Linked DNA regions of Sus scrofa. The protein of the gene in region 1 interacts with the protein of each later gene in a biochemical or structural test. Links are inferred from orthologs where the notes say so. Each region holds a gene or a part of one and is shown in the gene's direction. Other genes may lie near its edges.

Region 1 (5,429 bases):
GTCTGCTTACTGCACATACTTGAGTGGGAAGGCTCACAGCTGGCTGATTCAGCTGAGTGCGGGTTGTCTAAGATGCCCTCTCCCAATATCATCTATCTTATGATCCTCAGGAGAAAGGGCTACAGGAATCCTTACTCAGGAATCAGTGCCTTTAGTCCTTCTTGCCAAAAAGGCGAGTACCCCTGCAAACCCAGGATCCTAGGTGAGGCGACAGAATGAGTGGAGTTAGGTAGGTCTGGAAGGTGATTCTTAGAAGGAAGGGACAAGCAGACCTCTGAGTCTGTTAGAATGACACCTCACCCCCTCCCTAATCCAAATTTGGGATTCGATGGTCTTAGTCAAATGTGTCTCTATGGTTAGAGGGTAAAGGATGAATTAAGTCACCATACCACCAAAGCTGCCTGTTGAATATAGTCAGGGCAAGCTGGCATTTTGGGTCCAAGGTCATCAAGTCTCAGCAATGTTTTTTTTTTTTTTTTCTTCTGCTTTAGGCTCTATTGAATCTGTTTGTGTTCTGCGGTTGCTATTTTTTTTTCCTTTTTTTTTTTTTTTTGGCCTCGCCCATGGTAGGCATGCGGAAGTTCCTGGTCCGGGGATCGAACCTCTGCCACTGCAGTGACCCAGGCCCCTGCAGTTATAACGTGGGTCATTTAACCTGCGGAGCCACAAGAGAACTACCTGTGGTTGTCTTTTGATTCCTCTTCGGAATTGAGTGTCCTTTGCATAGCTATTAATATTAATACCCAATGGTAAGAAGGAGCACATACCTCCAAGCCCTGCGGAACTATAAAGCTTGTGGGATTAGGATTACCAGAGGGTGTAATGACAACAGGGAAGAGTGGATTAAGAGCTGGAATGCTAGCCAAAGAGTCCGGAGTAGAGGTGGCTGGAGCCAGCGTTTTGAAGGAGCAAGGAGAGGGGTTAGAGTGCATACTCAGGTTTTGGAAGAAAATGGGTGTGTGGGTTATCACTACAAAAGGACTAGACTAATACAAGGGTTCAATCCATTGTGCCAGGTTCTTCTAGCCGGATAAACTCAGGAGCCAATGAACTGGAGCCAAGTGGGAGAGTCAGCCTCCCAGGGTTAAAGGCTCTCCTTTCGCCAGTCGATCTGGCCCCATTCCTTTCGTTGATTGGTCGAGAGTCCCAATCCGTCGAGGAAGCGTAGCGTTGCGGCCAATTGACGTGGCGTTACTAGGCGTGTTGCATCCCTGAGGCGGGAGCCGGGCCGCAAGCGAATTTCCTGATTGGCTCTGGTCCGCGGGTTGCTGGGGAGAGGAGGCACGGAGAGGCGGGCGGGAGTACCCAGGGCAGGCGCTGATTGGCTGAGTTGTGAGCACCTCTCCTTCCGATGATTCGGCTCTTCTCGCCTCAGTCTTCGCAAAGCGTCTGCAGCCGTCGTTTGAGTTGTCGCTGCCGCTGCCCCCTCGCGGATCAGGCGCTAGCGTCCCCCGCCCGCTTACCGCCCTGGTGCCTCTGGGAGGAAGCGAAAGGGAGGCCGTCTGCGGGTTTGTCGTTGCCGCTCACCCTCCGCCCGGGAGAGCCGAGCACCGGCCGAGTCGGTCGCCTGCCACCCTTCGTAGCCGTTACCTGCGGGCCGCCACAGCCGTTGGCCGGGAGAAGCGCGCGCCATGGCCTCCGGAGCTGAGTGAGTGTGTGCGCGCCCCCCGTCCTCCCGCTGCGAGTGCGCGCACTGGGAGATCCCCTGCGTTGGGTAGGCCCGGCCAGGCCTGCTTGTGGGCGCGTCTAGGAGGTGGAGACAGGGAAGGAGGGAGACGGAAGGAGAGGAAGGGGGCGAATGAGGAGCCGCGGACCCCGCTGGGCCCGGCCGCGCACCCGTGCGCCCCCTAGGCGGGGCTTGCTTTGGGCCTGGGTCGGGGCCTGGGCCGGATCGTGCTGTGTCATGCAGGCCCGGGGCGGCCTGATTGGCTCCTCTCGAACGGCTGTCCTGTCCTAGTGAGGTCTGAGGGCCCACGCTGCCGGCACGGAGCCCCGGGGCCTTGGGGTGTCCACCTGCGATCCAGTCTGCCACCCGTTGTAGGCCTTTGGTCCCCGGAGAGTGCAGGCCACTTGGGCCTGACGCCCTAACTGGGCCCGGTGGGCGTGGACTTTGAGCCACGTGAAGGCCTTAGGAGCCGGGAGACCGAGACCGAGGAGGAGGCCGGAGCAGTGCAAGGCCGGGCGAGCTCAGGGGAGCTCCCGACGGCCCTTTTGGATCCGGGTGGGTCTGGCCCGTGGTTGGCATCCTCTACGACCTGAGTAGTGAGAGGCTGTTACCGAGAGGGCGGGCCCTGCCTTTCCCATCTGGCCTTCTTCATACTTTATTATTCCTGTTTTATTCATATGGGAAGGCTATAGTCAGTTTTCAATAATGTTAGGAAGTGGGGTTCATTAGGTTCTTGCTAAAATTCGAATCTCAGTTCGTATTTTGTGGGCCTTTCTAGATTTCAGCCTTTTGTGGTGTGAAGGTTAGAGTTGCCCTAACTTCTCAAACACACACAGCCTTTTACCTATGTGGAGAAATCCTGAGCTCTCTATTCCTCAGGAAAGCATCAGATAAAACCTGGCTACCTCTGCCCATTTTAGAATCAAGAGCTTTAGATACTGGGGGAGTTGGGGTGGGGGAGGAGAACACTGCCATCCTATGGAAACTCTTCTATGCAAAGCACCTTCCAGACTTGAAAGTTCAGTTTTTTGAGGTGTTCCTTTTTTTCAAGTTTCTGAACCGAGGTGAAGTATTTATTACTGAGGCGCCTATTGAAAAGGGCTGCTTATTAATACTTAAAGTACCCTCTTTAGTTTCCAGTACTAAAAGTCGAAAATTCTTAGAACCTGGCATCATAGACAGTTTATCTCTAGGTCATCTTGATGACTCTTAACTGAACTCTGTCCACGCCCCCTGTGGCCCACTGGGGTCCTGGAAGAGGGCCTTGACTCATGCAGGAAACCAGAGGAAGGTCCCCAAAGAGCCTCCAGGACTGTTGTCAGCCCATGATCAAGCTGACTTCCCTTGTTTAGAGGTTACCTCTTTCGATCTCAGGGGACAGATGTAGAATTAAAGGTCTTTACTTTAAGGGCAGAACATATCAGTCATCTCCAGTGCTGGGCTCAGGAGTGGTAGGCAGATTGGAGGTTTTCCTAGAATACAGCTTTGGGGTTAGAATACAAACTCTGATGACCAGAGGCAACTGGTATTTTATTTCTCTAACCCTAATCCTATACATCCAACTGGAAGATGGACAGCCCTTAGAGGGTATTTTGATGCATGGAGGAGAGGGAGAATGGATGGATTTAAATTGCCCTCGACTCTCACATTGACCATGTTTGCTCTCCAGGGTGTTTGTTGATAAGCATTGGAAGAGTATGCCTACTCTGCAGCATTGTGCCTAACACTTTTGCGCTGGGGAGGCAAGTTTAAGCTGAGGAAATGCCACTTTTGGAAACTAGTTTAAAGCAAATGAGTAAAGGGGCAACCTATGTGAGAAGGTCAGCAGAAAGGTTACAATTTTTTTTTAGGTGAATGGGATTTGTATTTCTTTTGAGTGTATCAAGACCAAAAGATGTAAATGCCTCATAATTTCTTACCTGGTATTTTAAAGCATAGGCATCTTTTTTTTCTTGCAATATTTCCAATAGAAATACTGTTTTGTCTTGTTTTGTTGACTGAAAATCCCCAGATCCTAGAACAGTGCCTGACATGTACATATACTTGTTAATTTTTTGAGTGGAATGGTCTCTTTTTTATTTATTATTTCTTTACATCATCCATTGGCTCGCCTCCTTTTGGTTAATGCGCAAGTTTTCCTGAGCCCTACTAAGAAAAGGTAGCTCTTCAAAAGGAGAGCCCTCTGTGACTCGTTATGAAGGTTGGAGATGAGGCAAGTGAGAAATAGGTGTCAGGAGAGTGATCTTAGCTTCTAGGAAATGATAAAAACCATTTAGACAAATTTTATTTATTTATTTTGGCTGTGCTTTTGGCATGTGGACAGGCCAGGGTTCAAACCTGTGCCATAGCAGTGACCCAGACCACTGCAGTGACAACACCAGATCCTTAACCCTCTGTGCTATAAGGGAACTCCTGTTTAGACAATGTAAACTGAGTTCAGACTTAGGCAACCTTCATTTGGGTGAGAGGATTTTGATTTGCCCCATGTCTCACATTTCTTGGTATTGACTTTTTTTTTTTTGTCTTTTTTTTTAGGGCCACGCCCTTGGCATATGAAAGTTCCCAGGCTAGGGGTCAAATGGGAGCTGTAGCCGCTGGCCTGTGCCACAGCCACAGCCACAGCACCACCAGATCCAAGCCACATCTTCAGCCTACACCACAGCTCACGGCAATGCCAGATCCTTAACCCACTGAACAAGGTGAGGGATCAAACCTGTGTCCTCATGGATGCTAGTCAGTTTCATCTCCTCTGAGCCATGACAGGAACTTCTGGTTTTGACTTTTTGAACCAGCTCCATGGAGTTGTGTCTTTTCAAAGATTACCGTGAAACTCCCTTTAAGCTTGAGCTTTGTTCTGGTGAAGATTCTAGATCTGTTAGTGTCAAGTATTTATTTTTTTTCAAATATGATGGTCTTTGTGCTTTGCATTCCTGTGGTAGGTAGAAGGCTCCTGACATTCAGCAGGTTTATCTGGTAAGGAGAGTAGCACTAATAATTTTGCTTTATTGTTCCCGGGCTTGTTTTGTGGGTCTTGGAGCCTATGGGAGGTTGCCTTGCTCACTTTGTTCTATAAGAAGGTTAGCAAAGAAAGAGCTTATGCTGTGTTCTGCAGTGCTAATCATAGTGACCGTTGATACCATATGCATTTTGTTGAGCATTTTGTGTTCATTACACTCTGAGATAGGTACTACTATAGTCCCCATTTTATAGATGAGGACGTCAGCCTCCAAAGAGGTTAAATAAGTTGCCCAAAATCACAGTTAAGCTCTGGCAGGGTTGGGATTCAGACTCAACAAGTCAGACTACAGGGACGCTTCTCTTTTTAATCACCATTCTATGCTGTCTAAGACTATTTTTATTTCTCTAATTATTGCTCAGGCTTCACTTTTTTTTTCCCCCTCTTTTGGCTGCCCGCAGCATATGGAATTCTAGGGCCAGAGATCAGATCTCATCTGCATTTGCCATCTATGCTGCAGCTGCAGCAATGCCAGATCCTTAACATGCTATGCCAGAGATCAAACCTGTGTCCTAGCGCTCCAGAGATGCCACTGATCCCATTGTACCACAGTGGGAACTCTTCAGCCTCCACTTTTACTCTTGTCATCTTAGTTTCCTGACCCTGGGACAAGATCGCCTGGGGCCACGCAGCTAGGATACCAGGAGTGCTCAGAATACTGAGTTGCCGAATGAGGAATTGTAACATAGACTTGATATTCTTCTTGACCTTGGCTGAATTGCTTTTCATCTGAGTTCTTGGTATAGG
Region 2 (4,844 bases), on another chromosome or scaffold:
TTGGCGTGGCCCCGCTGGCCCCACCAGCTCAGTGGCTTGTCAAGTGGCAGAAACGCCAGAGCCGTCGGGCCACGCAGGTGGCACTCATGCACTCTTGCCCCGCAGGTGCCCTCATCAGCCACGACAGACTCCTGCTGCAGGTCAACCCCGAGCGGGAGCTGGGGGACACCAGCTACCAGCTGGGCCAGGTCAGTCGCCCCGCCCTCGTCTCTGCCGTCCGTCCTCCGCCTGGCCCCCCAGCGCCCTGGAGAGAAGGCGGGTGCGGTTTGTAAAGAGAAGGAAGCTTGACGCGTGTGTTTTTACCTAATCTTCCGTCTTCCAAGAAGGGCTTGAGGTCCTGTCAGAACAGGTGTGAGTCGGTCCTGGCGAGGGCGGGGAGACGCTGGAGGACCGGGCTGCAGGCTCGGCCCCGTGCGTCCCGGCCGCCTGCCCCGAGGGAGGTGCGATCACGCGGCCCAGGGTGGCGGACGCTGCACTCGGCCCGTGCACCTCAGCCTCCTGGTTGGAAGGTGGGCGGGCAGGTACCTGCGCTACTCAGGCTGCGCGCTGCCTCGCGGCCTGCTGCTGCTGTACTGAGAAGGCGGGCGTGCGGGCCCGCTTCCTTTGTAGCTATTTCAGCAGACCTTGGTCGGGATAAGACGGGGTGCTCGGGGTTCCGTGGTTTTGGTGGAGCAGGCTGTGCGCCAGGGCCCTGGGGCTCTGCATCCACATCGGCCGCTGAAGGCAGTGGGGCTGCACTGGGTGGCTCTGAACCCAGGTCCTGAGCCACCACCGGCTTTGGGGCCAAAAAGCCACTCTCCCTTGGCCTGAAGGCTGCTTTGGGGGCAGAGTTGACCTCCAGCCTGGGGCTGCCCGCCGCCAGCTCCAGTGCAGGGTGGGGTTGGGGCAGTGCAGGGCACCAGGGCAGGGCTCGGTCCCACCTGGCGCCGCCCCCAGCGGGCCTCCCCGCAGGCTCCCAAGTTCGTCCCCACCTTGCCCCCCAGGTTAATAAGCACCTCACCCTTCTGCACCTGTAGCAAGTGATTCAGAAAAGGGGGTCCCCAAACGACTACCAGGGAGAGAACCAGTTTTGAAGAGAAACCCTGTGTTCCGATTCCATTTTCTGCTGAGACGCCCTTGGGGAGTCGCTCAGGAGCAGAAGCGTCCTGTCTCCGGACTCCTCCCCTCCTCGGCTGCTCCCTTGGGTTTGGCTGGCCCTCATTCTGGCTCTGCAGTCCTGAAGGTGGCGCCCTCCAGCGTGCCCGCCCCCGGCCGTGCAGAGTCCCGTGGGTCTGAGCCCTGCCGGGTGGGGGGTCTGCTGCCCCTGAACCCCCGGCCGCCGGCCCGAGGGTTGAGCCCGACTCGTGTCCCTTGCAGGTGTCCATCCACTCCGTGTGGCTGGGGAACAGCATCACGCCCCTGCGGGAGGAGGAGTGGGATGAGGAGGAGGAGGAGGAGGCGGACGTCCCCGTGCCATCCCCGCCCACGTCGCCGCTCAACTCCAGGTTCCCGTCTGCCTTTGGTCGAGAGCAGCTGGAAGCGCGCTGGCGGCAGGCGGCTGCAGTGACCTCTGTCTGTGCTCGGGTTGCAGGAAGCACCGCGCTGGCGTTGACATCCACTCCTGCTCGCAGTTTCTGCTCGAGCTCTACAGTCGCTGGATCCTGCCGTCCAGCGCGGCCAGGAGGACCCCCGTCATCCTCATCAGCGAAGTGGTCCGATCCGTGAGTTCGCCTCCCGCCCCGCGCGGCAGCGCCCCAGGTGCCCGTCCCCGGGTTCCGAGCCCGCGAGGGAGCGGTTTTCGCATGTCCAGCCCCTGGCGGGCTGGGCTCTGGTAAGGCCGGTGGGGCTGTCGTGGCAGCGGCTCGACACAGCACTCACGTGTCACGATGTGTCGCTCACACGGCAGCGTCACGTTCCTGTGAGGCCTGAGGCGCACCGTCCTTGTCCACCTCTCCCCGGGCCCGGCTCCGTCCCGTGACCAGCAGTCCCCCTGAGAAGCGCCCATTCGGAGCAGGTGTTCTCCAGCTCTTGGCCTGGGGGTCCTGTCCGTTCTCGACACGGCTGGGGACCCCAGAGAGCACTGATTTCCGGAGGTGGTACCCAGCCGTACTTGTCGTATCGGACGTTGCCTCTTCCGCGCAGGCGTCTCTGCGTCACCTGGGTCAGCGGTCCAGCAGGGAGAGGCACCTGTCCGCGGGACCCTCTGCGTTGTCTGTGCAGCACAGGGTCCATAGTGTTTTCACCCAAGAGATGTCGCTTTCTGGTGACGGCAGACTCTTTTTAGCCTGCTTTTCTCGGGGTTCTCATGTGGCACACTGGGTTAAGGATCCGGTGTTACCACGTAGTGGCTGGGGCTGCTGCTGGGGCGTGGGTTCGATTGCTGGCCAGGGAGCTTGCACATGTCATGGGCGTGGCCAAAAAGACCAAAAGCCTATTTTTCTCTGTACTCCTTTGAAAGTTTCTAAATTGTCTCATATTTGGTCAAGTTGGGATTTTTAAGAACCTAATTTTCAATTTATAACGTAAGTAGTTATAAATTGATTTTTTTTTTTTTTCAAAAAGTCAACTGTAGGCACTGCTAAAGATCTTAAATTTTTTTTCTCTTTTGATTGCCACATCCGTGGCACGTGGAAGTTCCCACACTGCAGTCACAGCAATACCAGGTCCGAGGCGCATCTGCGACACACACCACAGTTTTCAGCAACGCTGGTGGATCCTTAACTCGCTGAGCGAGACCAGGGTTTGAACCCGCGTCCTCATAGACAATGGTCCTTAACCTGCCCAGCCACAGCAAGAACGCTTTAAGTTTTAAAAAAGTTCCCTACCTATCCATTTAAAATAACAGTAATGATACCAATTTCTGTTTAAAAATGATTTTTTTAAACAGTGAGAAGAGCCTTATTTTGTTCTTTTGCAAGCTCTGGTGTCTGGCTCCTTAGGTAGAAACCACCGGGCTTCTCGTGCCTGCTCTGCTCTCCCTCTAACATCAGGTCGCTCTAGACCGCGCCGCTGTGCAGTCGGGGAAACCCGGGAAAGAACGGCAAGGGGGCCTTAGCGTTTCTATAAAAACCGTCTCCACCCGTGACCCCCAGAGGCCCGCAGGCATCCACGGGTCCCATCCCCGTAAGAACTGCTCTTCTGGACAGTTTGCTGAGTCTGTTCAGCTCACCCCTGGCCTCAGAGGAAGCGCCAAGCCCAGCCTTGACACACGCTCCCAAAGAACGGGCCTTCCTGCCCCCTCAGGGCTCATTTTCAGATAGGATGCGAAAAACAACATTTTTGGGAAACAAGAATCATTGCCAAAGCATTGATTTCTGAAGCAATCACCCATTTCTCTATTTGGGGGCTTTTGGGAGCCTGTCCTCTCGGCTGCTGGGACCTTTGTGGGGCTGCTGTGGGTGCTTGTTCCCGCGCAGGCCGCAGAGTGCATGGGCTTGCGGGGAGCGCAGTTCCACGCTGGTCTTTGTGTTCTGTTTTTTCTTTCTGGGGCTGCACCTGTGGCATATGGAAGCTCCCGACCTAGGGGTTGAATTGGAGCTTCAGCTGCCAGCCTGCAGCACAGCCACAGCAACTCGGAATCCTTAACGCACTGAGTGGGGCCAGGGAGTGAACCTGCATCCTCACAGACAGTATGTTGGGTCCTTAACCTACTGAGCCACAGTGGAAAGTCGTCGTCTTCTTCTTTTTTTTTTTTTAATGAGAGTCACTTCACAATTTGTGTTAGTTTCAGGTGTACAGCAGAGTGATTCAGTTATACACACGTGGGTGTGTATGTATTCCTTTTCAGATTCTTTTCCCTTGTAGGTTATTGTAAGACATGGAATGTAGTTCCCTGTGCTCTGTAGTGGGTCCTCGTGGGTTATCAGTTCTGCACACAGCACTGTGTATCTGATCATTTACCCTCCCTACGGCCCTTTAAGATGCCAGTTCTCCTGGCCAGGCCTCCTGCGAAGCCACTTGGACCACGTGGTGTGCTTCCTGGCGGCGTGACTCGCCCCTCTGCCCCGTGTCCATCTCCAGCTTCTGGTGGTCTCTGACTTGTTCACGGAGCGCAGCCAGTTTGAGATGATGTATCTGACGCTGACGGAGCTGCGGCGGGCGCACCCCCCAGAGGACGAGATTCTCCTCCAGTACCTGGTGCCCGCCACCTGCAAGGCGGCCGCCGTCCTCGGCATGGTAAGCCGGAGGGTGCGGGCCTCTCGGGGCAGATGTGGGCAGTCGGCTGAGTGCGTGGCGCCAGTGCCTCCAGCTGGGCTCCTGGACCCCTGGTTCTGTCGTGTCCCTGTCCCCAAAGAGGCTGGGCTGCACGGGTGGTGGGGCATGTGGCCGACTCCTGCACAGTCAGCCCTTCCAGTTGTGCTGGGGGCCCCATGCTGCCCGGCTGGCAGATCCGCCCCTGTGGTGACCTTGTACCTGTGCCCCCCCCCCCAGATACTGAGGTCTGTTGTCTGTTCTGAGTGGGGCCGGGGTGGGGGGGGCGGCAGGCAGGCCTTCTTCTGAGCCCCTCCTCCTGAGTGTGCCTCTCTAGCTGATCAGAACTCATCCCTCTATGCCCGGCGGCCACGCAGCATCAACATGGAAAGTGCTGCCCGCCGGCCTGCCGTTTCTAGAGCAGGTTGGAAATAGCAGCTCTGCCTCTGGAGGAAAATAACTGGACTCCAAGTTGAGTGTCTTTCTGCGCTTTGCCACGTGGCATCAGCCGGTCGTTGTGCCTCTTCTCACTCACTTGTCCCCTGGGTTCCCTCTGCTAGAGTAGAGACTCGTCCACGGGACAGACCCAGGGTAGCTGCCGCGTGCCGGGCACTGGAACCACCGGTGAGGGGCGTCGCAGTGCCCCAGCCACTCTCTCGCCCCCGCCCCCCCTT
Region 3 (5,442 bases), on another chromosome or scaffold:
AACCTACACCACAGCTCACGGCAACGCCGGATCCTTAACCCACTGAGCAAAGGCAGGGACCGAACCCGCAACCTCATGGTTCCTAGTCGGTTTCGTTAACCACTGCGCCACGACGGGAACTCCTTTTTGGTCTTTTTTTTTTTTTTTTTGGCATGGATTTTTTTCAATAGTAAATACTACAGTACTACAAGGTCCACCGTTGGTTGAATCCAGATTGGAAACCACAGATACAGAGGAACCTCATATGTGTATAGAGAACTGTGCAAAGGGTTGGTGCCACTAATATCACACTTGTTCAAGGGTAAACTGTACTGCCTACAGTTCCACAATTGCAGAGGCAGAGTTAAATAATTGAAAAAGAGACCCTATGGCCACAAAGCCTTAAACATTTATTATCTGACACTTAATAGAAAATGTTCATTGACCTCTATTCTACAGAGTCACTGAAAATTTATTTATAGGAATTAGCAACACACTGTCAGTTAAATACACTATTCTTGGAAGCTGGTCCAAAAACCTACATATTTATTAAGAACTTCTCACATATATCTGGCAAATGAATGGTAACTGAAGTGGGAGATATGGTTCAGGGTCTTGCTCAGAGATATTGGAAGAAAATTCCAAATTTAAAAATCAAACTGAAGGTAAAGCATCAAGAACATTTAAAGAAGGTGCTTAAGCATACATCTCAAAAATATAATGTCAAAAAAAGCATTTGCTGAGATTTGGAAAGAAATTTCTGCAAAGAAAGAAGCCATTGGTAAAGTATACTTTCAAGGGCATGGTGAGGTAGAGGGTGGATTAAATTGTTTAGGCTTCATCTTCTAAGAGGAATAAAGGACGCTGATCTACTGGCAAAACAAAGCCACAAATTGATACATACCCTTACAATATAGGATGCATGATTTTGCTGTCTTTCCTTTCCCCTCCATTCTATTTTGTCCTTATTGAGTATGTGTTTTATTTTGGTCGATAGAGTTTTCAACCCACTAGGCTGCAATCTGCAGTTTTGAAAATCACTTCTTTACAGTGGCATCGTCCTATCTGAGCTGGGACTTAGGCAAGAAATTTTCAATCATTTATTTCTTTAGAAAAAAAAAATCCATACAGGAAGAACCCAGCATAGTTTATGGCCATGCGTTTGGTCATGAACATGGTTAGCTGCTTCCTTCTGGGGTCGTTCATCCACATTTATTTAGCAAGGCCTGACAATCGGCGAGGAGGAAGCTCTAAGACAGTTTCATTGGGGAAAGGGGGGTTTCCCCACCTTCCTGGCCGGATCAATTGAGGATGGCCCGCGGGGGGTGGGGCGCAGAGGTACCTGGGTTTCTGCTATGCAAAAGCCAGCACCCGCCAGCCCTGGCCCTAGCTTCCCGCTCCTCCCCACCAGCCCTTCCAACCCCACCCCGCGGCCCCTCCCAGCAGACACCCGTGGCCAAAGCCCCTGGACCAGGACGACCAGGACCCCGCCGTCTTCTGGTCGAAGTTCCTGGGCCCTGACGACCTGGCCCCTCATGGTCCAAACCCCTGACACTCCCCAGACAACCCCCAGCCCACCCAGCCGAGCTCCCCCGTCCTTCCTAGAAAAGCTCGGTCCCCCACCCTGCCCGAGGGTAGCCCCCGCCTCCCCGCCGATCCCCTCTCCAGGCCAACCGCCCCCCGCCCCGCCCTGGAGACCAGCCCCCGCCCTCCGGCCGAGCCCCCGCCCTCCGGCCGAGCCCCCGCCCTCCGGCCGAGCCCCCGCCCTCCGGCCGAGCCCCCGCCCTCCGGCCGAGCCCCCGCCCTCCGGCCGAGCCCCCGCCCTCCCGCTCTCCTCCGACGCGCGGCCGCGGAGGCGCCTGCTCAGTGCGGACCCGGCGTGGGGGGCGGCGGCCGCGGCGCTCAGGCATGGCGGCGGCAGCGCTGGGCAGCTCCTCCGGGTCCGCTTCCCCGGCCGTGGCCGAGCTCTGCCAGAACACCCCGGAGACCTTCCTGGAGGCCTCCAAGCTGTTGCTCACCTACGCGGATAACATCCTCAGGTGCGAGGCAGCGGGCGGGGCACCTGCTCGGTCTGGGTCTCGGGGGGCCCGGCCGGCCCTGGTGGGGTGAGGCCGGGATGGGCGCGGCCGGCCCAAGCCCAGCCGGAATGGGCGTCGGGCTGTCTCGCTGCTCCTGGGACCTGACACCCGCTATCGGGGAGCGGGTAGGACTGGGTCCCGGTTGGGGCGAGGGGAAGGGGCGCCCGGGCGGTGGTCTCGGGTCCGGCGTTGAACCGTCTTCGTTTCGGGACAGAAGCGGTAACAGGGTTTCATTGACACTGCGAGAATTTTACCCAGCAGGTGCTTTCAGTTGCCACACGCTTTTCAGAAGTTACGGACGAAATTTTCCTGCCCAGCGTTTTGTGAATATCCCAGCAGTAAAGCATAGTACTACTGTAGTATTAGCGAAGATACCCTTGGCGAAAAGTAGTTTGTTTCATTTTCCTGGGAACACTAGCATACTTCTAGATCTCTGAGCGACTTTACAGATTTGGGGAACTGGGAAATAAGCTTATTATTCATTTTGAATCATCACCTCCCTCACCTCTTAGATCAAATAATGTGTCTTGAGGGACTTGATGTGGGGAGGGAAGCGGAGCCCGGGTTAAAGGAGCACCAGGTGCCAGGTACTTGAGTGGTGTCACCTCGTTTATCATCAGTTCACCGTGATTACATGGGCTCTTGGTGCCCCCCTCGCCCCTGGTGCGCTGACTCTTCTAAGCGGTAGCTATATTGGCTTGAAGTCTAAAAGGAAATCCTTCTCAATTTCAAGGTTATAGATTTCACTGGACGCAGTTTTAGAGCCATTCGTTACAAGTGCAGTGTTTTAACCTATGGCAGTTATAATAGCGTTTGTATAGGTAACAATGATTTTAAAATGAATTGAAGGAAAAACATTGAGCCCTTATGTGCCAGATATTTTGAGGGTTGCAGTGTACACAGTGCACATGGCTGCACAATTGTGACCTATGTGGGGACTGCTTTCCTCTTCTGTGACACCTTCTCCTATCACCTTCTCTTCCCTGGGAGGTCTCACAGCTCTTCAGAGTGCAAGGATGCTGGAGGACTCTGCTTGAATGAACTCTCAGGCTGAGTTCTCCAGAGCCAGGACCTCCCACCTGGAAAGCCACCAAACTATTTAAACCTAACTATTCAGAAAAGGGAGGTGGCCTTGTAATGAGGATTCAGTTCTGCCTTCAGTCCAGTGAAACCACAAGTGATGAGATCAAGGTGTTTTGAGGACGGAAATCCTTTGCATTATAATCATTATGAATGTTTACCAAACTAAGAAAAAGCGAGGCATGCTGTCAATTCAGGTCACAGTCTTTATATGGCTTATGTTTCTTGAAAGGTTTTTATCTAAAAAGGGAATTAGTCTGGAACTCATATAAGTGGAGATGGTATAAAAAACTACCCTTTCTAAGTTTGTCTTAGGTAAGAGTATTAAATCCTGCCCTCATATTCTTATAATTCAAACTCCTTCGGTCTTCAGAGGGGAGAAGCAGCCACCTTTTCTTTCCCTTCCAAGTCCAGTGACTTGCTTGTCTCTTAAGAGAAAAACCCTGGATCACTTTTGACCCCTTAGCCACACTGCATTACAGGTATGCTAATCTAACTTATTTGAGAGTAGAGAAAAACCACAATTTTCTGTTTCATTTGCTGTTTTGGGAAATTTATTAGTGTTAAAGATAAGGGACTGTACAAGAGATTGTAGTCTTGAAATCACTTGCTCCTACCTCAAGATCTGACATAGTGTTTATAGGATGAGAGTTTCATGGGCAGTTTTTTGTTTTGTCTTGTTTTGTTTTTTAACAGCAACGTTCCTCACTATACACAGGTGAAAATAATACTTTGGGTTAAGTTAAATTTCTGCTCCAGGTGTTTATTTCTGTTCCACAACTAAGAGTCACAAAGCTAATGAAATTGCTGACTGAAGTGTATACTAATGTGCATGCCCAATGTGCTATGGTTTGAACCATTTTTTTCAGTTCATTAACTTATAGATAAAAGTGAATATCTACTTCAGTATCTGCTTTTTAAAAGTCTATAATGATTTTACTGGCCTTTTACATGGGTTCCCTAGAAAATGTGCTCTGTTCATTTAAAAAAAAAAAAATTTGGAGTTCCCGTCGTGGCGCAGTGGTTAACGAATCCAACTAGGAACCATGAGGTTGCAGGTTCGGTCCCTGCCCCTGCTCAGTGGGTTAAGGATCCGGCGTTGCCGTGAGCTGTGGTGTAGGTTGCAGACGCGGCTCGGATCCCGCGTGGCTGTGGCTCTGGCGTAGGCCGGTGGCTACAGCTCCGATTGGACCCCTAGCCTGGGAACCTCCATATGCCGCGGGAGCGGCCCAAGAAATAGCAAAAAGATAAAAAAAAAAAAAAAAAAAAAAAAATTTGATGGGCGTTCCCTCATGGCTTATCGGGTTAAGGATTGGGTTAAAGATCTGGCATTGTCACTTTTGTGGCTCAGGTTCCATCCCTGGCCTGAGAACTTCTGCATGCCTAGGATGCAACCAAAAAAAAAAATTTTTTTTTCCGATTTCCCACTAATTTCCTTTGCAAATTGCACACGATTAACTGGTTACAAATTGTGCTGGGTGTGATTGGGAGGAGCCAGGAATGGAAAGTGGTTTCTTCCTTTAAAGAAAATAAATATGCTTGGGAGAGGGAAACTGCATAAAATCTAGAGAACAATTCCAAGATGACGTTTAAGCACTTACATGTTTACTTGAGATGATAGCAGGGGGGCCTAATGAGAAGATTTCAGAACAAAGGTTTGATAAGAGAACATGTGTTTGACATGATAGGTAAGAGCGAGCATTTGTTAGTTTCTAGACTCAAAAAAAAGCATAGGGTTTCATGTATAATAATGATATAAGAAGATTTGAGGCGTGGAATTCATTTCTGAAGCTATTGCAGTTAGCACAAGCCTAGCTGTTCATGGAATGGAGAGAGGATAGGAATTGGCATGGATTGGCAGTTCTTGAATACTGAATGCCAAGAGTTGGTAATGGGAGGAGAGAATAACTCCCACACTGCTCACCTGGGTTACTACTAACACCTGGAGAAATTGAGAGGTTGTTAACTGAGAATGGGTGAGTTTGTTGGCCTCTTGTATGGTGCAGTGTATGTAAGCTTTGTTTTCAAACCAAGGGGGTTAAATCCCAGTCAGCCATTCCTAAGAACGTGATTATAGGTGATTTAGGTAAACGTTCTGGGCTTCAGTTTCCTCGTTTTTAAAACAAAAGAACAATGCCTACATTACAAGATTGTTGCAAAAGATAGTGATAAATAAAGGACATGGCACATGTGTTATTTGTTACTCTTCCTCAGTTTTTCTTGTTAAACTAGACTGTGTACAGGTTTCCCTTGTTGTCAGCTACAGAGAGTGGTAGAGTTAGGGCCAGAGATGGTTCCCAGATGG
Region 4 (4,844 bases), on another chromosome or scaffold:
AGAACTAAGATATTTTGGGGGTGGGTAGGGGAGCAACACCCACAACATGGGTAAGTTCCCAGGCCAGGGATCAAACCCATGCCACAGAGGTGACAACGCCAGATCCTTAATCCACTGAGCCACATGGGAACTCCCAGACCTAAGATATAATAATTAACTCAACTCCGGACCTTATTGGGATTTCACTAGGTTTTCTACCAGCATCTTTCTCCGGTTCCAGAATCCCATCCAAGATATCGTCCTGAACTTCCCTGGTCCACATTGGCTTATTTAAGGCCCGTGTGTACGCGGAGAACCATGTGTAACCTCTCGCTCGTTCTGTGTTTCCAACAGTGTTCTCAGATTTTAAGGACCTGATTGGCCAGATTTTAATGGAAGTACTAATGATGTCCACTCAGACGAGAGATGAGAACCCGTTTGCCAGTCTGACAGCCACATCCCAGCCAATCGCAGCGGCAGCTCGGTCACCAGACAGAAATCTCCTGCTCAATGCCGGCTCCAATCCAGGAACGAGCCCCATGTTCTGCAGCGCGGGCTCCTTCGGCGCCAGCTCCTTGTCAAGGTCCGTGTGGCTCGCGCACACCCGAGTGGTGGGAAAATAGCCGTGGAGCATGTGACAGCCAGGAATGTTCATTCCGGGCCCGAGTCCTAGAGACCGTGGCGTGTGTGGTCTTTTCGGGGATGGGTCGACTCTTTGCAGGAGGTGTTGTCTTTTCTAGATTGGTCTCTTTCGCTTTCCTTGGTTAGGCTGTTGGTAAATCAAATTTAGAGATAAATGGCTGTACATAGAATATTATTCCCAGGAAAGAAAGCTCTCTCATATTTTACGTGTAGGTTCTAGATCCGCCCTGCAGTTAGAGCACAGTTATTTAGACAGGTAACTAGAAGATTTGTTTACCTGAATGCTTAGGGATAAGAGGTATAATTATACTATCCTTTAAAAACACAGTATATTCTATTTTAGTTATTTTTCTCAAGTTTTTCTCCGATTTTCTCTTCTTTCCTCCCTCTCTCAACTCATGTAGCCTCTATGAAACTAGTCCAGCCCCCCGCACGAGTTTCTGGAGCTCTGGGCCCATGACGAGTCCGCCTTTGGCCTCCCCTTCCCGGGCAGCCAGCCAGGCAGCCCCAGGTCCTCATGGCGCGGGTGCCGGGGCTCCGGCAGGAAGCCAGTCCCCGTCTCCGCGGTATCGTCCCTACACGGTCACCCACCCCTGGGGGTCTTCTCCCTCTCCTGCCCCGCGCGCCTCGAGCCTCTGCCTTCTGTCCGGCTCCCCAGGCCTCCCCACCCTGGCTAGTAGCCCTCAAGCAGTGCCCGCCGGCTCCTCCGGACCGAGATCCTCCAGTGCGGGGCCGCCTTTGCTGTCCGCCTCCCCCGGTGCTGTGAGCAGACGGCCCGCCTCCTTCAGGAGCTCCCCTAGGTATCTATGCAGCAGGAGAGCCGGGTGTGTGTGTGCACTGCAGGGAAAGGAGGTTAACACGGTTTGGAAGAACTGTCGTGTGACACTGACCTCAGTTCTGTGTGTTTTCTGCTGTGTGTCTAACTTAGTGTGGGAGGCTTGCGCCCCCAGTCCGTGCTCCTGCCAGGCTTTGATAACATCAGGAAGTATGAGTTGTGCTTTGGGGGGGGGGGGCTGTGCCCACAGCATGTGGAAGTTCTGGGCCAGGGATCGAACTCTCACCCCCAGCAGTGACCCCAGCAAGGTCCTTAACCCCTAGGCCACTGGGGAGCTTCTTGGGTTGCTCCATTCTGCACCCCTTCCCTTCATTCCCTCACTCTTCCTGCTTCCTGTGCAAAATAAAAGAAGTAACTTAGTTGTGAAATCTAGGTCACACGTCACTCCTCGTAACACATGCGTCTCAGAGACCGTAGCAGTTTGTGTTTGAGAGTTTGGGGCTCACAGGCCCACGTTTCTGTTTTTGTATTCTTGCCCATCATAGTTGAAATACAGTCAGACCAAGGGCTTGTGGGACCAAATCCCTCACCTCTGGTCACTGGGGCTGGGCCAGTGCTTATGCCTCCACACTTTGTTTTCAGCCCCTTAGAAAGAAGCAGCACGGGAATTCCATTACTCCACCCCCTCCCCCGCCACGTTCCTGTGCGTGTATGTCGTGGAGGTGAATTCGTTTTCTGCATGTCCGTAGGCAAAGCTTTCGCATAAGGTTTAATGAATAGGCCAGCGATTGCAAAGCTTTCCTTCTCTTATTCTGCCTTTGTTCCCTGATGACCTTTTTCCTTTTGTTACGGTAGTATGTACGACACCCCTTTCTCCTTCCTCTTCCTCGCACTTTCTGGGGACAGTAGTGACGAAGATGGAGAAGAAGATGGTGATGGTGCCGATGGTGCTGATGAAGGTGGTGGTGGTGGTGATGAGTTTTCTTGTGTCCCGTTTGGGTCCAGGTATCAGAGGAGTGGAGTCTTACCCTGCATGTGCGTAGGTGCTTAGGAACTAACTTTCATAAGCCCTCATTAGATGTGTGCCTTGCATCCAAACAGGATAGGGTCCAACGAGGTGGCCTGGACCGCTGAGATGTGCCAAACGTGCATGTGTCTAAAACCTCAGGACCTTTTCATGGGGTGAGGTGGTGCACAGGAAAATTTTCGTCGTTGTTTGTTGCCTGGCAAGTTTGGAGGAAAACGTACATCAGATCATTTGTCAAAAACACGAACAACCGTTGAAAGGGCCCTATTAAGTTCGTTCACCGTCAGATCTAAAATGAGAGACCCTTCCTTTATCTGTTGCAGGAGAGTTCTTGCACACTGCCAGATATGGGCAATAGGTAACTCTGGGAGGCATGTTTTCTTATGTTTGGTGGCATGGATGGCTCCTGTTTAGGAATGGCAGAGGGGCTGGGATGTGTGTGTGTGTGTATTCTCAAATGTCTGTCTGTCCATCCCTCTCTGGCTCAGTCTGGACAGTCCATCAAAGAGCACATGGGGTCACTCATACTGTCTGGTGTAACTGTGTTTCTATTTTCACTTTTTTTTCTTTTTAGGGCCGCACCTGTGGCCCATGGAAGTTCCCAGGCTCGGTGTCAAATTGGAGCTGTGGCTGCTGGCCTGCACCACAGCCACAGCAGCATAGGCTCTGAGCCTCGTTGGTGACCACAGCTCGTGGCAACACTGGATCCTTAACCCACTGAGCGAGGCCAGGGATCAAACCTGAATCCTCATGGATACTAGTCGGGTTCATTACCACTGAGCCACAGTGGGAACTCCATCTGCTTTTACTTCTGATATTAAGTTTTGCTAGTCACCTCCTTGGCCTTGGTGAAGCCACACACTTTTTGTCTGGACAGCATGTGAAATAGCAGCAGAGGCCAAGACATAGTTCATGATGTTGCTGAAAGTTCACCCCTGAAAACAGAGTTAAAAAGACAGCTTGGGATTTCTAGGTGACTTTGAGCAAGAAAATATAATAGCACCTTCTTGCTAACCCTCTGACTCATTGTCTTAAAATTTCGCTCTTAAATCAAAGTTTCTTCTGGACCAGTTGGTGTTTGTGCCCAGCGCTATTCAAAAATAACTCCAGGCTATAAATAGACAGCAGTAGGAGTTAGGTACCCTTCATTAAATTTGACAGTGTTCTGAAGAATCATTAGAGAGTACATAAAGCCAGAGGGGAATGTGGGTGCAAGGGTGACTGTTGACTCCGTAAGGTTGATATTTGTATTAGGTTGAAAGTTGTATCACTCTTTCTCAGGTGAATTTCCCAAAGGTTGAAGTGTTTTTTCATGTAGATAAAATCCTGTTCCATGATCATAGAAATGGAGCAGGCATTCGTGTTAGCAGTCGACTTCTATGTATATGATAAAAGTCCTCTGTCGTCTGTTTTACTGTAAATTATCTGTAGGATAAATGCTCTTTCTCCCAGGCCTGTTTAATTCCAATGTTCTCTGACAAAGATATCAGATGGCCTGCTGCTTATTTTTTTTTTTTTTTTTTTTTTTGGCCATGGCCTGTGGTGGCTTGATTTTGTTTTTGTTTTTGTTTTTTGTCTTTTTGCCATTTTCTTGGGCCACTCCTGCAGCATATGGAGGTTCCCAGGCTAGGGGTTGAATCAGAGCTGTAGCTGCCAGCCTACGCCAGAGCCCCAGCAGCTCGGGACCCGAGTCGTGTCGTGTCTGCGACCTACACCACAGCTCACGGCAATGCTGGATCCTTAACCCTCTGAGCAAGGCCAGGCATCAAACCCACAACCTCATGGTTCCTAGTCGGATTTGTTAACCACTGAGCCACAACGGGAACTCCTATGGTGGCTTGATGTTGAATCTCAGTTCCCAGACTAGGGATTGAGTCCCGGCCGCAGCAGTGAACGTGCTGAATCCTAACCACTAGACCACCAGGGAGCTCTCCCCCCACCTTTTTTTGCGTGCTTCTCTTACTAACTCCTTTCTAGACTTCTAACATTCCAGCCTTGCCTCAGATCTAGGTTCCATACCTACAAGGAGAAACAAAACTTACTGATTATGTACTCATAACTGCAAATACTGAGGATCACGTGCTAGGCCTGCTGTCTGATTTCAGCACACATTCTCCGCACCCCCCATCCTCACAGCCCCACCCCTCGTAACTGCCGGGGAGGGGGGTCAGAGGGGGGTTTGGCTCGTGACTAGAACAAGGCAGAGCCCAGAGCTCCCCTGCCTCCCACCACACCGTGCTGCCTCTGCCTTCTCCATTTCTGTCCAGTAGGATTTTGCTGCTGTCATTTGTCACCGGTGATTTCACTGCCCAGAGTCCATGCCTCTACTCTGGTCCTTAGCAAGAAAGTGCCAGCGTTTTAGTCCTTCTTTACAAAATTCCATTCCAGTCAATCGACAGGACCTTTGTGGGCTGTTGAAAT
Region 5 (4,844 bases), on another chromosome or scaffold:
CATCTTAAAGTGTTAAACCCATTCATAGGGGCAGACTAAATTTGACCCAAAGGCTAGAGTTTTCCAGTTCCTAAATTAAACCCCAATGCTCAATGGCCACCAACTGCCCGGGGGTTTGGTTTGGTTTGGGTTTTTTTTTAAGTTCTGGTGCCTGCTTTCTGTCATTTTTATATCACATCTCTTGCTGACTGCTCTTGGTGAGGTGACTATGCCGTCTGAATCAGTACTTTTATGTGTTTACAACTGAGAACGATAACCAAACTTGTTGGTGGTTTTTTTTGGGGGGGGGAGTTTCCCAGGCTAGGGGTCTAATCGGAGCTGTAGCCACCAGTCTACACCACAGCCACAGTAACGCCAGATCCTTGACCTGCTGAGCAAGGCCAGGGATTGAACCCGCAACCTCATGGTTCCTCGTCAGATTCGTTTCCACTGTGCCATGACGGGAACTCCCGGGATTATATTTAAAATTAGTGAAAATACTGGAAAAATGTTGAGCATTGACTTTATGACAATATGTTTGTGTGTGTGTGTGTGTGTGTGTGTGTGTGTGTGTGTGTGTGTGTGTGATTGCTGGTTCTTAACTATCTTTAGGATATTTGAAGTTTAGAAATCACCACGTTCCAATAAGTGACTTGGGGAAGTGGTAATAGTACAGACTTGAAACCTCTGCCTGGGTTTGAATCCCAGCTCCGCCATTTACTACCTGTGTCATCCTGGGCAAGTTACTCGTTATCTCTGTGCTCCAGTTTCCTCCTGTGCCTTTGCGGATAATGAAGTGTCTGCCTCAGCCTTATGAGTGCTTAGAATGCTACCTGGCACATGGTGCTGGAGAAGCGCTGGCTTGTTGTTATTCAGATGCTCGTGTTCGCCGAACCTCATAAGAAGAGGTGAGACCTTACTCTTACTAAGGTGAGATGAAGTGCTGCTGGGTTGATTGCATGGCCCAGGTTAGGCCATTTCTGAGCGCATCTTTGGGTTTATGCATGGTTTCTGTTGTAGACAGTTGTGTCTCTTGGAATTTGAACTCGTTTCAGGTTGGTCCTCAAGACTTTGGTGACAGTGAGGGAATGATTTGGTTGCAGTTACCCTTTGTGAATTTGTAAGATATCTTGGTAAAGCTGAAGACGCAGTTCGTGCATCCTGTGATTCCAACACAAGTCTGGGCGTGAGACCATTGCATTTCAATACCACTGAACTTTGACTATAGCAAAGTGAACGTCGATCCAGTTTTGGTTAAAGCTTGATGAGAAAAAGGTGGCTGGGGATAGTTGGGAGGTGGGGTGGGCAGGGAAATGAATACTCTTAGATGGACCCATTTTACAATGGGTCCGTGTAGAATTTGACTCATTTGGGGCTTTAAAAAAATGATTTCCTTTAGGTGTGGAGTTCCTGTTGTGGCGCAGTGGTTAACGAATCCGACTAGGAACCATGAGGTTGCAGGTTTGGTCCCTGCCCTTGCTCAGTGGGTTAAGGATCCGGCGTTGCCGTGAGCTGTAGTGTAGGTTGCAGATGCTGCTCGGATCCCGCGTTGCTGTGGCTCTGGCGTAGGCCAGTGGCTATAGCTCCAATTCGACCCCTAGCCTGGGAACCTCCATATGCCGTGGGAGCGGCCCAAGAAATAGCAAAAAGACAAAAAAAAAAAAAAAAAGATTTTCTTTAGGCGTTTCCACTGTTGCACAGTGGGTTAATGATCCAGCTTGTCTCTGTGGAGGTGCCGGTTTGATCCTGGCCCCGCACAGTGGGTTAAAGATGCAGCATTGTTGCTGCATCTGCCGTGTAGGTCACAGCTCTGGCTCAGACACAGTCCCCGTTCTGGGAATTTCCATATGCTGCAGGGGCAGCCAAAACAGAAAAAAGTTATTTTTTTCCCCAATTTTAACTGAGTAATTTGTTCTTTCTTTCTGTTAAATCATATTAGAAGTACAGAACTTTATTATTTTCTGAAGCAATACAGTTTTCCTTAGATAAGATTTGATTTCAAGTGCTTTTTCAAAAAAAATTTTATTGAAGTATGGTTGACTTAGAAAGTTTGTTAGTTTCAGGTGTACAGCACAGTAAATCAGTTATACACACACACATTTTTATCAATTATTTTTCAGAATCTTATAAAGGGCATCTGTTATCCCCTCAGTTCACACTGAATTATTCAATGGGAGTTGCTTTATTCAACCAACACGTTGTATTATTCAGTGGCAGTAGGAAAGGAAGGAAAAAGAGCTGGAGACAGTCCTCTCTTACCATCGTGGCTGTGACTTAAGGGATAGATGTTGTCTTCTTTGGTATCAAGCTACTTATTCCCCATTGAAACATGGAGATAAACTTGTCTCAGCCCCCCTGCCTTACACTGCATTCCTAGTCCGTTAAGTCCACATATCCTGTGTCTTTTTCTGCAGCTGAATTTTGTTCCTAGAGCATGAACTCAGGGAGGAGATGTGTCCTGCAGGTGTTGGTCTTTGGGGTCAGATAACTCGGCACAGACTGCAGGATGTCAGGCAGACTGAGTGAGGGAATAGACTTTATTGGGGAAGTGGAGAACCTTGAGGTCCAGGGTTAGCAGCAGAAGAAGATCTCTTCTCTGCCATCATCTCCCTGAGGGGACCAGTCCAGGCTGGGTTCACAGGGAAGGAGGGGTCTCATGCGCCTGTGGGTCTCCCTTGTCATTGGGAAACAGGAAAGCAGCATTGTTGTGGGAGAGGGGTGATAAGCAGGCTGCTTAGTTGGAGGCAACCTGGATTTAGGTTTGGGGTGCCAGCCAGTTGCAGGAGAAAGCCAGATGCCCAGCACCTAAAGACCCTGGGGTCCCTGGGAAGTTGTATTCTCCCCACGCCCCTAACAGGAAGCCAGTGATCTCTTGGGAGCTGAACTTGGATGCAGCCACCTTGCTGGCTTGTCCAGAAGTGAGCTCAGGGGGTGGTTCTCCTCTTTGCACAACACTGTGTAAATTATCCTTGAAGTTCCTTGCAGAGAATCTCGGCTCTGTAGCTACAAGTCTTTTTGTCTTTTCTAGGGTCTCACTCAAGGCAAAAGGAGGTTCCCAGGTTAGGGGTCCAGTCGGAGCTGTAGCCACCAGCCTACACCACAGCCACAGCCACAGCAACTCGGGATCCCAGCCACATCTGCGACCTACACCACAGCTCACGGCAGCACCGGATCCTTAACCCACTGAGTGAGGCCCGGGATCGAACCCGCAACCTCATGGTTCCTAGTCGGATTCGTTAACCACTGAGCCACAGTGGGAACTCCCATAGCTACAAGTCTTCATAAACATCAAACAGAATTTTTCTTACTGTACCAATTCTTGAGATTCTTCATGTGTTCATGAATTTGAAATTCTATGAACGCGCATTTAGATGGAGTAAAGATTATCTCGTTAAAAGAACAAATGTTCTTGGCACAGCATTGTAAATCAACTATACTTTAAAAAGACAGGAAGGACAAATGTTCTAGGGATTAAAGTTTCCTTTCAACATTAGTAATTTACCATGGAATTGCTAAAAATGCATTTGCTCTAGCCACTGAAAATGATGGAGGCTAAATGTTAATGCTAGGGTTTTTAGTAAAATAGGAGATTTGGTGTCTTTAATAGATAATGTTTACTTAATATAAATCATTCTTAAGTTTTCGATCATATAGCTAAGTAATTGTAATTTCGTTAAGGGCAGAATTTTAAAATAAATGTTAACAAAATGCATGTACCTGTGTTAATCATGCTTGTCTGAAGCTAAAACCGTACAGTTGGGCTGGGTTAAGAAGTTAATGGTTAAATTTCTCTTGAGGGGAAAGTGCTATACAAATCTGTTTAACAAATCACATTTGAATTTTTTCTTTCGGAAATAATAGCAAGAAGGCTCGCTTTGTGCTCAACATTGCTTGAATAACCTATTGCAAGGAGAGTACTTCAGCCCTGTGGAATTATCTTCAATTGCACACCAGCTCGATGAGGAAGAGAGGATGAGAATGGCAGAAGGAGGGGTTACTAGTGAGGACTATCGCACATTTTTACAGGTACTGACTGTAAACTCACTAAATCACATTTTTTTTGTTGGGACTTTTTGGTGTTTTTTTTTTTTTTTTTTGGCTTTTTTAGCTATTTCTTGGGCCGCTCCCTCAGCATATGGAGGTTCCCAGGCTAGGGGTCGAATCGGAGCTGTAGCCACCAGCCTACGCCAGAGCCACAGCAACGCGGGATCCGAGCTGCGTCTGCAACCTACACCACAGCTCACGGCAACGCCGGATCCTTGACCCACTGAGCAAGGGCGGGGACCAAACCTGCAACCTCATGGTTCCTAGTCGGATTCGTTAACCACTGCGCCACGACGGGAACTCCAATGGGTGCTCTTTAGAAAAGGATGAACCAGTTCTCCTATGGGGATCTGACTTGTTAATTACAACTTGGCTCTCGACTTTGTAGACGGGAATGAACGGGATGTTATTTTAAATATGCACCCTAATGGCACTTTATTCTTCTCTCCCCACCCTCAACCTCCCCCCCACCTAACAACCGATCCGAATTAAACAGCAGCCTTCTGGAAATATGGACGACAGCGGCTTCTTCTCTATACAAGTGAGTACTCACAGGCATGTACGAAGTGGAGTTTATGTCCCAGGCACTGTCAAAGCTCCGGGTATGTGTCCCTGTAACGATGTGACCTTAAGAAGCGCCTCCAATAGACTGTGTCTAAGAGTGCAAGACTGTCCTCTTGTAGAGTACTAGATTTTTATGGAGAGAAACATGAAAATTAGGATGGTAGGATCTTTGTTCTAGAGTAGGGCTTTTTCAAAGCCGGTTATTCATTTGTACCTTCCTGCTGATAATGGTAACTCCAATAAGTCACAGTCTTTCG
Region 6 (4,302 bases), on another chromosome or scaffold:
TTAGGATGCTTTTGGTGGAAGGAAGGCAACAAGAAGCCCGATTCAAAGGGGCTTAACACCCAGTAAAAAGGGCTGGGGGAGAATTTAGCAGCCTGCCTAATTCTAAGGAGCCCAGAGGCAGGCTAGGTGTCAGGTTAGCCGATTCAGTAGCTTTGCCCCGTCACTGGTTTCTGTCTCTCAGCCTCCTCTGTATTAGTGGTGTCACCCCCTCACACCAAGAGCAGGGTCTGGGTCCCAGCATCCTCAGACTCCTGAGCCGTCCACTCATTGGCCATCCTTGGGCCAGTTGCTGTGGCCAGGGGACTATGCCAAGACCTGAGTGGCAAGCCTGGCTCCTTAGCGTAGGCTGGTCAGGGCCTCCTCGGGGAGCTGGTAGGCCGCCCACACCCTTGGGGCAGCTGGGGTGTCCCATAGGACGTGAGCTCCATGGACCTGCTCCTCCCAGATCCTGCAGAGCGGAGGGTAACATGTCATTGCAGGAAGTTGGTCTTTTTTGTACATCGTGACCCTGAGTACAGGACAGTTTCTCATCTGGCAAATGAAACTGGGGTCCCTTACGGCGCTGAAGGGTTGAGGGGCCCTGAGGGGCAGCGTGGCCGGTTCCTAAGAGGTGTTCACCCCTCAACACGCCCATGCAGCTGAGCTCCCTGAGTTTAGAACCCAGTTCTCCACTGTGTCCACAGACAGTTGAGTGTCATTCTCTTTGTCATTTCTTTGGTTTATTTGCGTAATTCTTTCTGGTATAAAGAGAAATATCAGAACATACTTGAGTTTCATCTTGTGTATCTCCATGATTACAAGATAACTGAGTCGTAATTAAGGAGAAAGCGTTATTTGAGGCTGACTTTGTGTCGGCTCTGAGTTAGATGATGCCCAAGCCCCATGGCTGCTGGCTGGCCGGCAGCAGCGTCCTCTCTGCTTGCATGTCCCTCGTGTCCCTTATTTAGCCTCTTGAAATATGCACGGAAGAAGCTGAGATTGAAATCAGGGTGGGGTGGAGTCTTTTACACGAGGTGTATGTGTGTATAAAAGCCTGAGCTCGAGCGATACAGAGTGAGGTTGCTGGCCTGTGTGGGTTTGTGGTGGAGCAGGTAAGGGTCAGCCCAGAGGACAGCCTGGAGGAGGTGGAGCCCCGAATAGGGACACAAGGACCAGCGCGAGACTGGGTCTGGAGGGGTCTCTGTGGGTTTTGGTCTGGGTGAGATGAGGAAGCCTGTGCTGCAGGGGTGGAGTGGTGGAGACAGGCCGCGAGGAGGCAGGCAGTTGTAGGTCGTGCTGGGGGCACAGACAGACAAGGAGCCGGATGAAGGGGGGATGGCAGAGCCGCCGTGCCACCCTTTGTCCAGGCTGCTCACAGTAGCGTCTCCAGTGCTGTCAACAGGAAATTACGGTCTGAGGTCGTAATTGGAGAGGTTGGGGCATCGTCCCCTCTGCCGTGTCCTACTGCCTCCGGGGATGTTGGGGTCCTCGGTGAGGATTCCGTTCTTCTCCGGGAGCCGAGGCCGTTTTCTTGCTGTAAAGTGTTGAGGGGGCCCTTGTGGCCTGGGCTGAGCCACGGCCGTGGCAGCAGGTACGTCCAAGAGGAGGCTCTTCTCTCTCTGCTCCCTGTCCTGGGGGGGACTGGCCATCTCTAGGAGGCGGAAGCCCTCGTCCCAGCCCCGCTGTCGGCCATGACCTTGACCAGGTCACTTAAATGTCCTGAGAGATTTCTGTCTTCTCATTGGCAAGATGAGGAGGTTGGATTCCATTAGTGGTTTTTGAACTTTAGTTTTTTGTTTTTTCTTAAGCAGCGAAAATCCTTTTAAAATGACACTTGTTTTCAAAACCAAATCAGAATTTTCCTGCCGAGGGCGGGGGCGGGGAGAGACTGCAGCTTCTGCAGCCTCACTCACTGCTGCAGCAACACAGGCGCCTCTGAGACTTGGGGCCGAGAACCATGGGGGTTTGACAGCCTTTGTCCCTGGACCTTGAACATTCTGGGGGTTTTAATTAAATGGGCCGGCAGGCCCTAGACGGCCCCTCAGTTCTTGCTCCTGGGAGACTGGAAGGCGTGGAGGGGGATCGGCGGCCCTGGCGCCGTGCGGACCGTGCCCACCCCGTCCAGGGCCCCGCATCCAGAGTCACGTTTCAGCAGGATCCCGCTGCCTCACTGGAGGCTGGGAGGCTCCCCCCGCAACCCCCGGCCCCCTGAAGCTGCATCTGCGTCTCGGGGCCACACGGGTGTGCTCACTGGCTCCACAGCCTGTCCTGGTGGTGGTGGTGGTGACGGGGAGGGGTCTCTGCCCTCGGGGCCCTGACGCCGCTGACGGCCTGGGCGGGACCGGTGGAGAGAAGGGCGCCTCTCCTGGCTTCCACTTGGCTCGGCGGCCACGAGGCCTGCAGAGCCCGGCTTGCTTCTCCACCGCCACCCCTCGGTGACTGTGCCGTCTCCCCGAAGGAACTGGCCCAGATCAGGAAGGAAGAAAAGGAGAAGAAGCGGCGCCGCCTGGAGAACGTCAACTGTCTGAAAGGGATGGGCTACTCCGCTCACGCGGCCAGGCAGGCGCTGCACCAGGCCGCCGGCAACCTGGAGGAGGCCCTCAAGGTAACGCCCCGCCGCCCCTTCCCGCCGGCACCCCCGCCTCGTGCCTGCCTGCCGGGGTCTCAGGGCCCGAGCTCCTTGTTGGTCGACCCAGTTGTGGAGCCAGATGCACAGGACCTGTGCACAGGGAGGCGGAGCTGGCGGCGGGGCTCCTCTTGCACCACGGGCTTCGCAGTAGCTTGAAAGAAAAGGTGATTGAAGTTGTTTTGAATTAACTTTGACTCGATTGAAGTTATGCTTTTTTGAATTAAAATGCTTTGAGTATCCAGCTCTATCATTTTAGTCAGTAGTACACTTGGTGAAGGGCTTTATAAAGAAATCCCCTGGGGTTCCCGCTGTGGCTCGGTTTTCCAGTGGTGGTGAGTACGATGTAGACCTGCTCGCGCTGCAGGCACGGAGCAGCTGGGGGTCCAGAGCACCCCGAGTCCGTTCTGTGTGGATTTCCCCACGAGATGAGGATTAGCGCCTCCACCCTCAGGTTGTGCAGGGGCAACTGAATTTAATACAGAAGTGTCATGTGAATTTCTAGTTTGATTGGAAGAAATTAAAAAAAGCAAAAAATTCTGAGTATGTGGAGGGACTGATGAGCCTCAAAAATGGCTTTTAATTATATAAATAGCACATAAATACATTTGACCAATATAGAAGGACTTAGTGTTAAAAGGGAAATTCCTCAACGAGCTTTTATGAGATCACGCGTCATGCGACAGTTCAGAGGTCAAGGGTCCAGAGAACTCTGGTGTCCTTGACGTTTGAAATCCAGAGCTGGTCACCTCCCAAGAGACATTACGTTGGGCCGCCTGCACGCAGCCAGCTCTCTGCATTCTGGTCACAGCCTTTTGGGACCTTGTCACCCCAGAGGCTGAGTTCCAGCAAACCCTCTGCTCTCCTGGAGCCCTTCTCCGCCCGCTCTAGGGACTCTGTTCCTCCTCCCTCGGGCGACCTTTGTGTCTGGATGGTCTTGTTCGTCTTCCAGACCTCAACTTGGACATGACCTTGGCCGCAGCAGCTGCCCCAGCCCCAGCCTTTTCTCTGCTTCCGCAGCGCCCTGGGCCTGGGTCACCGCCATGTCCCCACCCTTCTCTGCCTGTCCTCTGGCGGGTCTGCCCCCACATCACATACACAGGCGCCACTCAGCAGCTGGTTGTGATGTGTGACGGGTGATCCTCTGTTTCTAGATTCTTATCAGTAACCCTCAGCTGTGGTGGTTAAATGATTCCGATCCTGAAACCAACAGCCACCAAGAAAGTCCTTCTCAGGAAAACATCGACCAAGTAAGTGGAAGTGCGGTGTGTCCCCTCTGCCTGCACAGCCTGTGGAGTGGGGGCTGGCCAGGGGGGACAGCTTGGTGGCGGGACAGGGCCGCGTCCTTGGCTCCCCGGGCCGCGGGTGTGAGCTGCACGCCGAGGGGCAGCCTGGCCTTCAGAGGAGATGCTGAGCAGCCCCGGGTCTCCGGCAGCTCTTCTCTCAGGCCGGCGTCTGCGGCGACGGCGCTTTATGTCACCCTCGCCTCCCCCACGGCCCCTTCTCCTTGCTCTGCCCGGGTCTCGCGGGCACTGGGCGGGCAGGGATGGGGACCAGGCGAGTCCCCGCGCAGACAGGTGTGCCCGGCTCCCTCTCCCCGGCGGCCGGGGTGCGGGCAGCAGCTGCCCCCCGGGCCCGTCGCAGCGCCGCCTCGCTGTCCTCGCAGCTGGTGTACATGGGCTTCGACGCGCTGGCGG

Evidence for each region.
Region 2: the proteins of VCP (region 1) and HTT form a complex in vitro, tested with the Homo sapiens proteins (3 studies listed by BioGRID). The link is inferred for Sus scrofa from reciprocal best matches to the Homo sapiens genes VCP and HTT.
Region 3: the proteins of VCP (region 1) and NGLY1 form a complex in vitro, tested with the Homo sapiens proteins (2 studies listed by BioGRID). The link is inferred for Sus scrofa from reciprocal best matches to the Homo sapiens genes VCP and NGLY1.
Region 4: the proteins of VCP (region 1) and UBE4B form a complex in vitro, tested with the Homo sapiens proteins (2 studies listed by BioGRID and IntAct). The link is inferred for Sus scrofa from reciprocal best matches to the Homo sapiens genes VCP and UBE4B.
Region 5: the proteins of VCP (region 1) and ATXN3 form a complex in vitro, tested with the Homo sapiens proteins (5 studies listed by BioGRID and IntAct, with this or other methods). The link is inferred for Sus scrofa from reciprocal best matches to the Homo sapiens genes VCP and ATXN3.
Region 6: the proteins of VCP (region 1) and NUB1 form a complex in vitro, tested with the Homo sapiens proteins (2 studies listed by BioGRID). The link is inferred for Sus scrofa from reciprocal best matches to the Homo sapiens genes VCP and NUB1.

Annotation. Positions count from the first base shown.
Region 1 is NC_010443.5:235,865,638-235,871,066, reverse strand, and holds the start of VCP (transitional endoplasmic reticulum ATPase), read left to right. Parts: upstream 1-1,354; 5' UTR 1,355-1,631; coding exon of another isoform or gene 1,632-1,648; intron 1,649-1,854; exon of another isoform or gene 1,855-2,221; intron 2,222-5,429. UniProt on the Homo sapiens protein: Necessary for the fragmentation of Golgi stacks during mitosis and for their reassembly after mitosis. Involved in the formation of the transitional endoplasmic reticulum (tER).
Region 2 is NC_010450.4:1,920,630-1,925,473, forward strand, and holds part of HTT (huntingtin), read left to right. Parts: intron 1-105; coding exon 106-188; intron 189-1,356; coding exon 1,357-1,484; intron 1,485-1,570; coding exon 1,571-1,700; intron 1,701-3,999; coding exon 4,000-4,155; intron 4,156-4,844.
Region 3 is NC_010455.5:12,674,137-12,679,578, reverse strand, and holds the start of NGLY1 (peptide-N(4)-(N-acetyl-beta-glucosaminyl)asparagine amidase), read left to right. Parts: upstream 1-1,812; 5' UTR 1,813-1,887; coding exon 1,888-2,018; intron 2,019-5,442. UniProt on the Homo sapiens protein: Specifically deglycosylates the denatured form of N-linked glycoproteins in the cytoplasm and assists their proteasome-mediated degradation. Cleaves the beta-aspartyl-glucosamine (GlcNAc) of the glycan and the amide side chain of Asn, converting Asn to Asp.
Region 4 is NC_010448.4:70,407,431-70,412,274, forward strand, and holds part of UBE4B (ubiquitin conjugation factor E4 B), read left to right. Parts: intron 1-333; coding exon 334-562; intron 563-1,025; coding exon 1,026-1,421; intron 1,422-2,251; coding exon 2,252-2,401; intron 2,402-4,844. UniProt on the Homo sapiens protein: Ubiquitin-protein ligase that probably functions as an E3 ligase in conjunction with specific E1 and E2 ligases. May also function as an E4 ligase mediating the assembly of polyubiquitin chains on substrates ubiquitinated by another E3 ubiquitin ligase.
Region 5 is NC_010449.5:113,638,462-113,643,305, reverse strand, and holds part of ATXN3 (ataxin-3), read left to right. Parts: intron 1-3,840; coding exon 3,841-4,005; intron 4,006-4,519; coding exon 4,520-4,564; intron 4,565-4,844. UniProt on the Homo sapiens protein: Deubiquitinating enzyme involved in protein homeostasis maintenance, transcription, cytoskeleton regulation, myogenesis and degradation of misfolded chaperone substrates.
Region 6 is NC_010460.4:5,901,226-5,905,527, reverse strand, and holds part of NUB1 (NEDD8 ultimate buster 1), read left to right. Parts: intron 1-2,437; coding exon 2,438-2,584; intron 2,585-3,759; coding exon 3,760-3,855; intron 3,856-4,271; coding exon 4,272-4,302. UniProt on the Homo sapiens protein: Specific down-regulator of the NEDD8 conjugation system. Recruits NEDD8, UBD, and their conjugates to the proteasome for degradation. Isoform 1 promotes the degradation of NEDD8 more efficiently than isoform 2.